Linked DNA regions of Saccharomyces cerevisiae S288C. Changing the gene in region 2 together with the main gene of any one other region gives a genetic interaction. Each region holds a gene or a part of one and is shown on either strand. Other genes may lie near its edges.

Region 1 (4,728 bases), on a different chromosome or scaffold from region 2:
CTCCTCCAAAGTCTGGAGCACAACCAAATTACTCTGCTACCTTGAAACATTTAAATGACTCGTTAAGGCAATACCCATTAAGCTTTGAAACGTGGTATTTTTATGGTTGCGTTGGATTACAATGTGGTAAAATGCAGATAGCTGCGGAGGCATTTACCAGATGTGTTTCATTAGACCCTTATCATGCTCTTTCATGGTCAAATTTGAGCGCTGCATATACGAAAATGGATAAATTGAAAGAAGCTTATAGTTGTTTGAAAAGAGCCATTTCATGTGACGCTCAAAAGAACTGGAAAATTTGGGAGAATTACATGCTTGTTGCTGTTAAGTTGAATGAGTGGGAGGATGTCTTAACTGCATGTAAACAATTAGTCAGTATTAGGAGGGACAAATCTGGCGAAGGTTCCATCGACTTACCAATTATTGAAAAACTAGTAGAACTATTAGTGACTAGTGAATATCCAGAGGAGCCGCAGCAATTATCTTATTTTCAAAAGAGCTGTACTGAGTTTATCTGTAACACTTTACCTCAGGTAATTACAACCAGTGCAAGATGTTGGCGACTGGTCGCAAGAGTAGAACTTTGGAGGAAGAGACCATGGGCCGCCCTAGAATGCCACGAGAAGGCTTATAGGGCCATTTCTCACAATCCTGATTTAGAAGTTGAAGAAAAGGTTTGGAATGATACAGTGGATGCTTGTGAAGATTTGGTGGCTGCCTATGAATCACTTGGTGAAATGGAAGGTAAATATGGGCCAGGCAGTCTGGTTTGCAAAGACTGGAAATACAAATGTAGATCTACTATCAAAGCTCTAATGAGTAAAGGCAAAGGCAGATGGGATGACTCTCCTGGTTGGGATAGGCTAGTGGAAGCAAGAAGCCAAATATGAAGAGCACCTTTCATGTATAATCTGTGTATATTACGTAATGTTTGTATAAATAGATACATATGGACATGAATCAAGCATATCTAATAGAAGTTTTTATATTTTATCTCCTTGGCTGGGTGGTCTCATCTGTGAAAGGAGAGCCTCAATTATGTTGAGCTTGTTTAAAACTTTACACTCAAAATCTTCTTGCCTTTTCTTTATCACCTCGAGTTCGTTGTGAAGATAATCTAGACATATTTCCAATTCCATATTAGAGTCCGACCACGATTGCTCAGCAGCCATTTGTGGAGGCAGTACTGTCTCGCTGAACCTATTTGTACCCTTGTTTATCTTAGGGCTTTTGATGACTTTCCCGACGTCGTTATCCTTAGACAGAATCATGGGGATTGTGTGAAGAGTAGGCGGAATTCCAATCGTTATTGAATCCAGGGGCAGCGGTTGTGAGCCTGAATGCTCATCGTCGGAGCTGTGGTTATTCGGATGTTCAGCGGATGATAATTGTTGAAACGGATCAGGCCCCGGATGACTTTTAATGAAAGAAGATGATGATAAGGATGAAGATGATTCATTTCCGAATTTAGTTCTTGGTCTTGGATGTTCTGGTGCTTCGTCCAAGAGTGCTCCCATCAGCTTCAACTGGGAAGGAGAGAATTGGGCTCGATCTGCGCTGAAGAGGTCCTTCAGTCGACGAAATTTGGTTTTTAACGTCCTTGATTGTCTATATCTTGACCCAGTCTGTCTGTTGTACTCATCGAGCACCCTTTGCCAGCTATCTTGTCTGTAGGCATATGGTTTCAGATGAGGTTTGTGCCGTATCAGTAGTCGTAGAAGCAGCTCCACAGGATCCACCGATTCATCCATTATGGTTGGCTCCGCCTAAACCTTTCAAAGTATCGTTAAACCATGTTGTTATCAATGGTTCAACTCACCCGAATGGAAATAACGCTTATTTTGACGCCGTAATCGAAGGATGTGAAGAACTTATCAAGACTTGAAAATAGAGAACAAAAGAGATTTAAGAATAACTATGTGGAGACTAACCAGAAAAATCGGCACTAGAATCCATATTTCTAATCAGCTGTCGCCCATTTTTAACAAGGCAATTGGAACAGTTCCTGTTTTTCGTTTTTATTCTTCCAGCCCAGAGCAGAAGTATAGAAAGAAACTTTTGGAAGAGGCTCAAAAACAAGGTTTTAACAGCATAGAAGAGTTGAAAAATCATTTGAAAGAGACTATAGAGTCTAAGAAGCGGGAATTTAATAAAATCGACCCCCTGAAAGAACTAGAGGATTACCAACAAAAAACTCAAATGGAAAATAACAACTCCAAGCATTTGATGACGAAATCAAGAAGTCCTCTCGATCCAAGTGCTCCTAAAGTTCCCTTCAAAACATTGGACTCTTTTTTGGATGTTGGAAAACTGAAGGACTTATCGAAACAGGAAGTAGAGTTTCTTTGGAGAGCAAGATGGGCACAAAAAGATAATACATTATGCGCTGTGATTCCTGTCTCCGTTTATGATAAGATGATGGCAAATGCCAGGAATAACCCTATATTCGTGTTGCCACTTCCTAGACAAGTTCAATCTGAGGATGCAAAACCGAACGAAGAACAGGGAATGGAACTACACTACATCCAATGGCAGTTTGTCGGACCCCAAACAACACATTGTATGATGACTTCCCTAGCAGAATACAAACTACACCAGGAATTTGCAAGGCCACATACTACCTTGCAGTTCCATTCTGATTTGGTCAAGGATAAGGGAATTGTTTTTATGAATGGCCATGTTGAACCGGATACAAACGTGAATGTACAGGATGCACAGCTGTTATTGCTAAACGTGCAAAGGTTTTATGGTGCAATGGGTGAAGAAACTCCAGTTGCTAAACAGAGAGTGCAGTTGTTAAGAGATTTCTCTAAGGCCTCTCCGGGATTCACCGTCGAGAAATTGATTTCGCTATCACAGTCCATGGAAAATTAACGAAGAATTACTTCCGTATACGTATATATATATATATATATATATTAATGACACCTGTAAATAAAATACGTACTACATCATCTGCGACAAGCGTACAGTTTCTTTACACAGTTATCAGCATGACTCTTGTATTTTCATAATGAAAAATGAAAATAAAAATTTTAGTAGATGAATATAATACGCAGAAAGAACAGGCTAAAAAAGTACGAAAAGCAACTTCATTATATTTCCGCATTCATCCTTCAATTATGGCCAGCAAGACTTTGAGGGTTCTTTTTCTGGGTCCCAAAGGTACGTATTCCCATCAAGCTGCATTACAACAATTTCAATCAACATCTGATGTTGAGTACCTCCCAGCAGCCTCTATCCCCCAATGTTTTAACCAATTGGAGAACGACACTAGTATAGATTATTCAGTGGTACCGTTGGAAAATTCCACCAATGGACAAGTAGTTTTTTCCTATGATCTCTTGCGTGATAGGATGATCAAAAAAGCCCTATCCTTACCTGCTCCAGCAGATACTAATAGAATTACACCAGATATAGAAGTTATAGCGGAGCAATATGTACCCATTACCCATTGTCTAATCAGCCCAATCCAACTACCAAATGGTATTGCATCCCTTGGAAATTTTGAAGAAGTCATAATACACTCACATCCGCAAGTATGGGGCCAGGTTGAATGTTACTTAAGGTCCATGGCAGAAAAATTTCCGCAGGTCACCTTTATAAGATTGGATTGTTCTTCCACATCTGAATCAGTGAACCAATGCATTCGGTCATCAACGGCCGATTGCGACAACATTCTGCATTTAGCCATTGCTAGTGAAACAGCTGCCCAATTGCATAAGGCGTACATCATTGAACATTCGATAAATGATAAGCTAGGAAATACAACAAGATTTTTAGTATTGAAGAGAAGGGAGAACGCAGGCGACAATGAAGTAGAAGACACTGGATTACTACGGGTTAACCTACTCACCTTTACTACTCGTCAAGATGACCCTGGTTCTTTGGTAGATGTTTTGAACATACTAAAAATCCATTCACTCAACATGTGTTCTATAAACTCTAGACCATTCCATTTGGACGAACATGATAGAAACTGGCGATATTTATTTTTCATTGAATATTACACCGAGAAGAATACCCCAAAGAATAAAGAAAAATTCTATGAAGATATCAGCGACAAAAGTAAACAGTGGTGCCTGTGGGGTACATTCCCCAGAAATGAGAGATATTATCACAAATAATATGTTATATAGTCTTTTTATTTATGTATCCTAAAATCTCGTCAAAGCGCACTTTTATATGCTTAAACCTGGCAATGTGGAACTCTTGATGTTTGAATCGATGCCTGGGATTTCTTGACGCGGTTTCTTGTTGATGAATCCATTCATGTTTGGTAACGCATGTGGTTCAAGTGTAGCTGGTGGTGGCGGGGCCGCACCGAATTCACTCTTCTCTCTCACAGCATTGATGTCGTTATTGATGCCAAAAAACCATCCATTTATCTTCTTATTGTTATAAGTTGGATCATCATATGCATTAGGATCAATTGGCCTCGCTCTAGTCCAAAATCTTATGGTTCTATCCTTAGCTGCTGTGGCAAATATATGTCCTACTGGATTATATGATAACGAGGTGATACACTTATCATGGGCGTATGGAATAGTCAAAATAGGTTCGTTTAGATTTTGTAAAAGATCAAAATGCTTTAGCGAGCCGTCATAGCACGCCAGAGTGAACATAGATTCATTTATTGGGTGCCATTCTAGTGTCATATAATCCGTTTCATCTCTTACACACATTAGTTCCTTCATACTGTATCTAATGTCGAACACACGACACGAT
Region 2 (5,303 bases):
CGTTCCTATTGTTTGAAATATCTTGGGCTAATTGGTCCTTAGTTAATCTATTTTCAGATCTATTCACCATCTCGGAGGTGGTATTGAAAAACTTCTCTGGGGTGAATTCGTTCATCTTCTCTCGGGAATCGACGAATATTGTATGATTCCCACTGCTTTTGAACATCAACTGTTTCGCTCCTTTCTCCAGCTTTTTCAGCTCTATTTGCCTCAGCGTCCTCACATAATTACTATCTTGCGTTTTGAGTAATTTAACTTGATCCATGGAAAGCGATTCGTCTTCTTCGTCACCGTGACGTGAGCTGATCAGCAGTCCTTTTGCATCTGTCTTCCTTGAATGCATAGCATGGTAGTATTCATCTGGATTTCTCTCTTTTGCTTTTTCTCTGAGGACTTTCAAAGTGGACTGCTTCCTGTGGAAGTCTTGAGCACGTTTCACATAGTCTTTATGCTTTTCTAAAAACCCATATCTGGAACGGCTAGTTAGCTGAGAACGTTCTCTATGCTGCTTTTTCTGAACATCATGTACAAGTTTAGCCATATCTTTTGTCTGTTGTTGGCTGTAACGAACTAGAAAACCCCACTAGTATTATTCGATGATATGCAACTTGCTCTTATTGTAGTTTCTTAGCATTGTTTTCTTTACTCTTTTTCTTCAAATCGCGATGAGCTCATCTAGCCATAAAAAAATTTCATCTTTTACGTGCATAACGACAAACCTTTAAGCCTTAGAGGACTTGGTGATGTGCTCCTTTATAACAACGATTACTTCCATTGAACAGCAACACCTGCAAAATCGGAGCTGCAAAATTATTGATTGGATGTGGCAAAAATAGGAATGGGCGATCATAATCTGCCGGATTTTCAGACATGTTTGAAGTTTTCTGTTACAGCTAAAAAGAGCTTTCTATGTATGTATAGAGACAGCGTCTCAAAGGAAAAATTAGCCTCTTCGATGCCAAGTACTTGTGATATACAACTGAAGAGGGCAATCAATGACGCTTATCCGGGCGGAGGAATAAAGGTCACGGTTCTGAACTCAACAACTGCAAGCTTGGACTCGTTAGCAACTACACATGTTAAGGAATTTGAGATTGTTATCATTCCAGACATAAATTCTCTTTTACAGCCAGACCAAGCGAAATTAGTAAAAATTATGAGAGATTGCACAGTGGCGATTGAGAAGGCACAGTCAACACGTATATTTATAGGAGTGGTTCATTGGAATAATCCCGTGCAGCCTTCAGGCGCCGCTAAGGATGGGGATGAAGCAGGTAAACCAGCTCCCAAAACTCGCATCTTCCTGCCCACGTCTTTCCGTATGGGCGCTTGGCTCAAACACAAATTCTGGTTTGCATGTGCACCCCCATATTTGGATTTTGAAAGTTCAACTGAGTCTAGCATTAATACAAGAGCCAATAATAGCATTGGTATGGCTGAGGAAGAGAAGCAGGAGCCAGAGAGCAAGAGGTCGATCATATTAAATGAAGAGGCAAATCTGAACGATGTATTTGTGGGGTCCACTGTAAGACGGTATATTCTCGATATCATGGTCCATTTGCGAACGCATAGATTGACGTATAACGCCAAAGCCGGCGGGGTATATACAAATTCATTGGACGACGTGGTGTTATTGTCTAGATTAATTGGTCTACATAGCGGCAAGATGTTTGTGTCACCTTCACATGTCAAAGAGGCGTCCAGGTGGTACTTCCCCATGCACTTGGAATTGGTTCAGCGTTCCTCCATGGATAGTTCCTTATTGTACGGTAGCGACCCCAACTTGGTGGACGAAATGCTAGAGAAACTTGCGAAGATTAAGTGTGAGGAGGTTAATGAGTTTGAGAATCCCCTTTTCCTGGAATCTCTCGTAGTGAAAAACGTACTAAGTAAAGTCGTGCCGCCCGTGTAAGTTTATTATGTATTTCGAGCATGCATCTGGAACCTATGTTTACATACGTACAAACGGTATTTAAAAGTTTCTATTCTTAGCGTCAATTGCCCTTTATCGTTTTGTTAACCAATTGTTGTTTTTATTCATTATGCCATGACCCGAAAAATGAGCAAAATCGGTCAAAGTAAATAGCTAAATATTTGGTCTAAAAAGTAAGAGAGAAATGAAAATGGCAAGGCTTAACTACTTTGCAATAGTGTATATAGACATTACCAATTGAGTCCAGCAACGAAAGATTCCGCTTGCACTTGGTCAATCATTTACTGACCATAATACGAAGTAATAGAGATGCTACTAAAAGATGACCATGCGATTACAATTTACAATAGACAATTAAGCGCAAGGACAATCAGTATGCATTCCATTTCTAATAGACAAGGTGCTATGAGTGAATTGCTAGCCTCCCCTTTTTATTTTGTGCGGTCACCGCAAGGGACAAAGCTTTTCTTAGAAAACCGTCTGAGAAGCATAACGTACGCCATCCCCTAGACATATTAATAATGCTACAGATACTATGCTGCTCGTCTTTTTTTGACGACCCTTTTATTGCAATGTGCAACTAATGGCAAACAACCACATAGTATCACAGTATTACATTGCCTCCACCGATGCGGATGTTAGGGCGCCAAGTCTGTCATGAAGCATGTTCCTGTCATAATCTTGTATGCAAAATACCGCGTTCTGCGCCACTGATATGCTAGGCAGCAGCAACCTATGCAGAAGATTGCTTTTCCCACGCCTGTTTTACGTCTCCAGGGCACTTGAAACAATGCAGCGATCGCCGCCACAACACGCCAAAGAGAAGCGAAAGTGGGCCTGGGCGGCCTCAGTTTCGGCAGAGGTAAACAACACGAACTGAACTGCCTTAGCTCCGAAGGGCAATTCCACAGGCACTCCGCGGGGCCCGGCCAAGGCCCAAAAGGCGTGGAATATGCGCGTTTTGGGGCCATAACACCCAGTACCACGGCCGGAACGGGCCATATAATAAGTTTTTCACTCTCAAGAATGGTAAACGTAAATAGGAACATCCCACTACCCTAGAAATTGCGGAAATTTCGCGCTTATCATTAGAAAATCTGGAACCGTCCTTTTTCCTCTTTCTTGCATTTCCCTTTCCGTATTATTGCCATTCTTTAACTGCATTTGGGGAACCGTAGACCAAAAGCCAAACAGAGAAATGTAACGTTCTAAAAAAAAAACAACGAAAAAATTGAAAAATAAGATACAATAATCGTATATAAATCAGGCTTCTTGTTCATCATTTTCAATTCTCTTCTTGCCATCCCTTTTCCTATCTTTGTTCTTTTCTTCTCATAATCAAGAATAAATAACTTCATCACATTCGCTACACACTAACAAGAAAAAAAATGCAATTCTCTACTGTCGCTTCCGTTGCTTTCGTCGCTTTGGCTAACTTTGTTGCCGCTGAATCCGCTGCCGCCATTTCTCAAATCACTGACGGTCAAATCCAAGCTACTACCACTGCTACCACCGAAGCTACCACCACTGCTGCCCCATCTTCCACCGTTGAAACTGTTTCTCCATCCAGCACCGAAACTATCTCTCAACAAACTGAAAATGGTGCTGCTAAGGCCGCTGTCGGTATGGGTGCCGGTGCTCTAGCTGCTGCTGCTATGTTGTTATAAGAAATCTCTGATTTTTTATAATATCTATATGGCTTTTTTCAAAATTTTCGGTTTTACTAGGTAAGTGTTTGATTCTTTTCTTTTCGTTAATATATTTTTACACATAATTTTAAATAATTTTTGTTATTTTGAATAGGTAGATACCATAAAAATAAAACACTTTTTACTTTAACGATGTTCCTGTGATTTCTCTTCGAATGAGTCAAAAATTTGAACTCGAAATGAATGTATTAGAGACTGGGTTTCTTCGAGTTTGCTGAGATCTTGGCTATGCACAATGTTTCCTGCGCCCCTAAGGTGAAAAAAACATGCATGCTTGTTTCAACAGACCAGTGTGCATAAAGAATTTCGCCCTTAGCTGCGATTAAAGAGTCAAGGCGTGAAAAACATAGGCGAAAGTGCTGACCGTTCTTCCCTTTATCTTTTTACCATCTTCGTTATCTGTTACCTGTTCAAAAGAAAGTGGGAAAGATATTGGTGTGCTACGGTGGGATCTTTTTTTTCTGCCATTTTCTATACTTTACTTCCACTTATAAAATATTTTACAAATTCAAGGGAGACGTGTGACAAAATAATAATCTAGAACTCAATGAACTTTTGTCCTCACTACAATTGCCCCTCGGATGGATTTGAACTTACAAGAAATATCACGTTGGCGCGCGCTAAAGTCGCTTGCCAATGCGCTATGAAATTTTCATGACCTGGCACATTTTAGCACAGTGCCATTAATCCCTTTATTATGGGCATTGATGCGACTTTAAAACTGTACCTTCCTTCGCACATGCTGAATTTTCTTAATGAGATTCATCTACGATGCTTTAGAGCTAGCCTTGTTTTCTTTTTTATGCTTCAAGAGTAAGTAGTGAAGAACCCCACTAGACAAATACTAAGGGATGCTGCAACCACGTCTTATACTTCACCCATACATAACATTGGAATCTCATTAATTTTTGCAAAGATATGGTGAACAAGTTTCAAAATAAGAATGTATGTGTACCGAATCGTAGCTCGAGGTAATAATGAAAAAAAAAATCGGACATCTGGAAAGTTACGAATATAGAAGCAGATACCCCTCTTGACGGCAAACATTGTGTGCTCGACCTTCTATCCCGTTAAAATATCATAATAAACAAACCCCTCCCGCGAAAACAAAAAAAGAGAGCTAAAAAAAGTACTTCTTCGCGTTATAGATGGTGCCGCACCGTACGTCATAACTAAAAATAGCGTTAGCCACAGCTCCCTGAACGAAAAGGGCCCTTCGGCCCGATTGGAATACGGGTCCGCTTACGTCTGTGCGTGCGGGTTGTCCCACAACGGTAACTTACTCCAGGAGAGCCATCTCGAAGGTGCCACAAAAGAAAACAAAAAAAACAACAAACAATAAGCTCTGTGGTTCACGTTCAATGTAGTGTTTTTTCACCTTTTAATTTTGATAATTTGTGGTGCAGAAAAAAAAAAAGCAAACAAACAAAATCTCAATTATTTAAAGGACGATCTTAACGTTTCTTTCTTTCGCTATCTTCCTTGAATTTTTTTTCTGTCTGAAGTAAAATATCCCGTAACAAACTAATAAATACTACGAAAGTCTCAAAAAACAATAATGAAATTCTCCACTGCTTTGTCTGTCGCTTTATTCGCCTTGGCTAAGATGGTCATTGCCGATTCCGAAGAATTCGGCCTGGTGAGTATCCGTTCCGGCTCGG
Region 3 (4,555 bases), on a different chromosome or scaffold from region 2:
TGAATTTGTCGAAACCGGAATGGAGAAATATCATCGAAAATTACCTCTTAAATATAGCAGTAGAGGCACAATGCAGGTTTGATTTCAAACAAAGATGCTCCGAATATAAGAAATGGAAGTTACAACAGTCCAACTTAAAAAGACCGGACATGCCCCCACCAAGCATAATACCGCGGAAAAACAGCACAGAAACAAAATCGCTTCTGAAAAAGGCTTTATTGAAGAACATTCAGTTGAAAAACCCCAATAATAACCTTGATGAATTGATGATGAGATCAAGCGCCGCAACAAATCAACAGGGAAAAAACAAAGTCAGCTTATCTAAAGAAGAAAAGGCTACGATATGGTCGCAATGTCAGGCACAAGTTTACCAAAGATTAGGATTGGATTGGCAGCCGGATTCAGTATCCTGAAGATACTAAAAAGAAACCTTCCCGATGGTTTTTTTGGAGACTCTTCGATTGTATCAATACTATCCCATGGACATCAGTTTTAATAGAGGAGCTCCAAATTCCCAAGGAATTGAGGAAGAAGCGCCAATGATTTATATATACAAACTAGCTGTTGCAGCTTTATAGAGATTTAGTAATAAGAATTTTATGGGAACGTGGTACCGTTATCGCAGTAAAGAGTCAAGGGTAGCGAAGATCAAACCATACGATGACGAAATACCTTTAGTTCTTAGCATCACCAATCGCAGACATCCAACGTATCCGTGCGCGTAATCCTTCTCTTGGTAGTTGAGCACAGCATACAGAAGAAGCCGCGCGCAAGCGGTAAATGTCTTTCCTCCGGCCTTCTAACCACCAAAACCGATCTCGGAACATGGGGGGGGGAAGGTCCTCTGAATCGAAAAACCCGAGACAGCGAGAGGGATTTTGCAGAAAATTACAAAGATCACTATTTACTGCTCCCCTCACTTCCGCAGTCCCCTAATAGCGGAAGATGCAATGGGTGTGGGCTCTGGGTGCCCTTTAACCACGCCCTCAAAAGGGGGTCCTGGTTATTTTGCGATGGGCGCCTCTATAAATACAAAAGAGGAAGTGAGTGTTTTTGTTTTGGAAGAGGGAAAGGAAAAAAAGAAGAAAATTTACTATCGGTTGTTGTTTTTCGCCAGTATAATACAATTGATTATACATTTTGAACTAAACAGCACAGCACAATACAACAATGGATTCTGCCAAGATCATTAACATTATATTATCCCTTTTCTTACCACCAGTCGCCGTTTTTCTAGCCCGTGGGTGGGGTACTGACTGTATAGTGGATATCATTTTGACCATTTTGGCTTGGTTCCCAGGTATGCTATATGCCTTGTACATTGTCCTACAAGATTAAGCTCATTCAATAAACGAAAGTAACTATCAAATGAAATAAGGAAGCAGTATTAGGAAACGGTATCAACATGTTCGGGTCACCCTCATTTTTATTTGTTTCCTTTCTTTTTTTTTGTTTCTCTTTCTCTTAAGGTTTCCTCCCCCGCTGTTAATTTTAACTACGTGTGTATTTTTTAATAATTAATTTTATCACAAAAAAAACTTCTCATCTTTTTTGCCTTTTATCATTTTTGTACTTTTTTCTTCGCTTAAAATACACATGATATAGACGCTTAACTATCTGTCCTGCAAGTTTGTTTATCTATATAAATATAGCCAGTATCATCCGTTTACCTGTGTTGTAGAGTTCCAAAAGATAGAACAGCCTTTTATCAGATGGGTGGCAGACCCTTACCCATATTATCTCTCTTATTTTGTTTTTATTTCTCTCTAGCCTTATAATTATTTTTAGTTTCCTTTCTGTAGCAATAAGTGTTCTTAGCAGTGGCGTTGCGTTGCCTTGACCTTGATTATCAATTTAAGCAGCTTTCTGCTCACAAGCCACTTCAAAACGACTCGTGAATGATTTTTCGATCAATGATATCTTATCATAATTCGGATTTGATAGGAAATCATCATCCTCTTCCTCGTAGTAGGCGTCTTCCCTCCTTTCATTAACAAGTTTATTCTGCTTCACAAATGTAACTGTACTAGTTGAATTCAAACGCCTACTTTTGTTAACACTACCTGAACTAATATCATATTCCAGACCAGCTGTAGTATGATTGATCAATGATTCTGAGGATTCATTTAGCATATTAATTATCTCCTCATCAATAACTATTTCCTCCTTTCCGCTTATGGGACCACTGGTCTTTTCTTTTCCATCTGCCACCGGTAATGATGATCTATTGTAGTGGAATAACTTGCAACCGTAATCAAGCAACCTGCACATGTAGAGGAATAGATCGATCGCGTCCAGTATGATAATAGGCAACAGCAATACGATGACACCCAAAGAGCACATCAACTGGAAAATGCCAAACATTAACATCAGTCCTGATCTTATTTCGGATAATATCCCGCAGTGCCACGTCAAAGATAGTACCTTATCAAAGGCGTGGTTGATAATAACAAGTGCTAATCGGCTATTTGACATGATCTCTTCCTTTCCTGATGAGTTCTTGGTATCGTGATCGATCACAGTTGAACCTATAAGTTTTCTAAGCTTCGGGAAAAAAAACATTGTAACTAAAGGCAATAATGGATGCAGATGCCTGGCAAGGAAGGAAGAAAAAAAGACAATAGAATGCCGTTGGTATATATTCTCCGGCTGCCCCGTCAAAGGACTTCTAAAAACTAATATCAAGAAAATCAAAAAAAAAAATCAAAAAAAAAAATAAAGGAAAAAAAAAGATCTCTATCTTTATGTCGGTAGATATGACACTCCCTTCACGTTTATCATCTCTTGAACCTTTTCTAGTTCATCTACACCGTTCCTATTATCTTTCTTTTGCCCCCTTCTCTTCCCTCGTACATGTTTTCTTGCCTTTTACATTCCTCACGCCCTACTGACAGCTATTGCACTTTGGCGGCACCACTCAGCCAGACTGCCCGTACCCGTACGATGACCTTCCATGCAGCCACGGCGAAACGCAAGACCGAGCATTCGGGAATCAAGGAATCTAACTTGCATTTGTCCCGGGTCCTACTAAGCTCTTTCTGCCGTGCAAAAGGACGTTTCGTTTCGTTTTTCATATGCTATCCATTTCCTTTTGGGCTAACTAGGTTTCCGCGGGTTTTGTGGTCAATAGGACTCGACAAATCATTATTTACGCGCGTGCATTTTTCGCCATCATTCTTTTCCCTTCTTGCACCACTACAATTTTCCGGGATTGTACGATCGTAGGAAACTACTTACCGTCAGCGTTGCTCAAAAAGGCCCACATTATTTTCTTCCGTTAGTCCTGTTTTTATATTGTCCTGAAGTTTCCCGGCGCTAACTTCCTGGCTTTCCATTGAGTTTGAATTGTTGAGTAAAAACTAGTGTGCCATTGCTAGATGAACGTCATTTCCGCCCACACATCGACTGATGAATGACTCCATTTTGAGAACTAGATATACAACAAAGGCAAATAAGCGCAGAAGAAGCAATGGTGGTGTCTGTTCATTGCGAGCCCAAACGCACTTTGCCGAAAGAGTTAATAAACATTACCGCTATACACTACGTAAAACTTAATTCTTGTCTAGATGGATGAACCTGCTTTTTTTCATCTTTAGCGTCAGCTGCAAATAGACCACAACTATCAGTGCCAAAGGCAGATTTGTATCCACCGTCGTCCTTGGCAGGTAACCTATCTGCACTGTCACGCTGAGCCTCCGGCACTTCAGTATTACCGCCCTGGTTCTTCCTTTCTTGATTCGACGTATTGGTTTCGACATCTTGCTCTTCTTCTTCCTCGCTTTCGTCGCAGTTTAAAACGTCAAATAAATTGTTTGAAGGCTCATTTCTCTTCACAGTGACGGGAATGCGATTATTCTTCAATGACTTCGCAACAACTTTCACAGCGGCGCCTTTTAAGCTGTTAACTCCCTTTTCTTCTCCCTTCTCCTTTTCCTCCTCTTTTCCCTTCTCTTTTCCCTTGAGTATACTATCTTCGTTTGATAAAATTGTATTATGGCCCTCTGCAACAGCCACGTTCCTAGTCGATTCGGCGACTTCTCTATTCGATCCGGGGGTGCTAATGTTGCCAATGTGTTCGGCCAAAGAACTTAGTTCTGATTCAATTTTTGAAATTACCATGGAGCCATTTATTCCTTGACCAGAAAATTCGTCTTCAATATCATCGAATATTTCACGTTGCAAAATCTCAGACACATTTATTTTACTATAGTCTTCCACACTTATCGGCTTCATTGGTAATGCAAAGTCAGTGTTTTCCTCCGGACTTGAGTAGTAGAGTAAAGAATTGAATGCCGGCTCCAAAACCCCTTGGGAGGCAATTAAAATGGCTTTAATTAATGTATCATCTACTTCTGGAAATGCTATCTTCAATTCTTTCAAGACACATAATTTCTCTACTGAGGAAACTAAATCGCCTATGGTGGGATAATCGAGAATATTGCTGTCAGTTTTCGTGTTTACATGTTCCTTTGTAATTAATGGAAAGTCAGTTTTCGGGCTACTTTCTTTTTCTTCAACGTTTGTATAGTCTTGCGATGGAAGCTCCAATCCCGAA

Evidence for each region. A genetic interaction does not mean that the proteins touch.
Region 1: mutations in CWP2 (region 2) and ATP11 together harm fitness more than expected from each alone (negative genetic interaction), as found in Saccharomyces cerevisiae (2 studies listed by BioGRID).
Region 3: of CWP2 (region 2) and TLD1, extra expression of one rescues a mutant of the other (dosage rescue), as found in Saccharomyces cerevisiae (one study listed by BioGRID).

What each region holds. Positions count from the first base shown.
Region 1 is NC_001146.8:41,470-46,197, reverse strand, and holds ATP11 (Atp11p), read left to right. Parts: upstream 1-1,917; coding exon 1,918-2,874; downstream 2,875-4,728. Other genes in the region: tetratricopeptide repeat-containing protein EMW1, read left to right, coding at 1-890; DAL82 (Dal82p), read right to left, coding at 984-1,751; prephenate dehydratase PHA2, read left to right, coding at 3,123-4,127; cleavage polyadenylation factor subunit PFS2, read right to left, coding at 4,182-4,728.
Region 2 is NC_001143.9:255,932-261,234, forward strand, and holds CWP2 (Cwp2p), read left to right. Parts: upstream 1-3,321; coding exon 3,322-3,600; downstream 3,601-5,303. Other genes in the region: rRNA-processing protein UTP11, read right to left, coding at 1-541; MTC2 (Mtc2p), read left to right, coding at 839-1,912; YKL097C (uncharacterized protein), read right to left, coding at 2,572-2,982; YKL096C-B (uncharacterized protein), read right to left, coding at 3,142-3,291; CWP1 (Cwp1p), read left to right, coding at 5,201-5,303. UniProt on the Saccharomyces cerevisiae protein: Component of the cell wall.
Region 3 is NC_001136.10:1,010,259-1,014,813, reverse strand, and holds TLD1 (triglyceride-associated lipolysis regulator TLD1), read right to left. Parts: upstream 2,563-4,555; coding exon 1,855-2,562; downstream 1-1,854. Other genes in the region: MTH1 (Mth1p), read left to right, coding at 1-413; PMP3 (Pmp3p), read left to right, coding at 1,171-1,338; YDR274C (uncharacterized protein), read left to right, coding at 2,854-3,225; DON1 (Don1p), read right to left, coding at 3,541-4,555.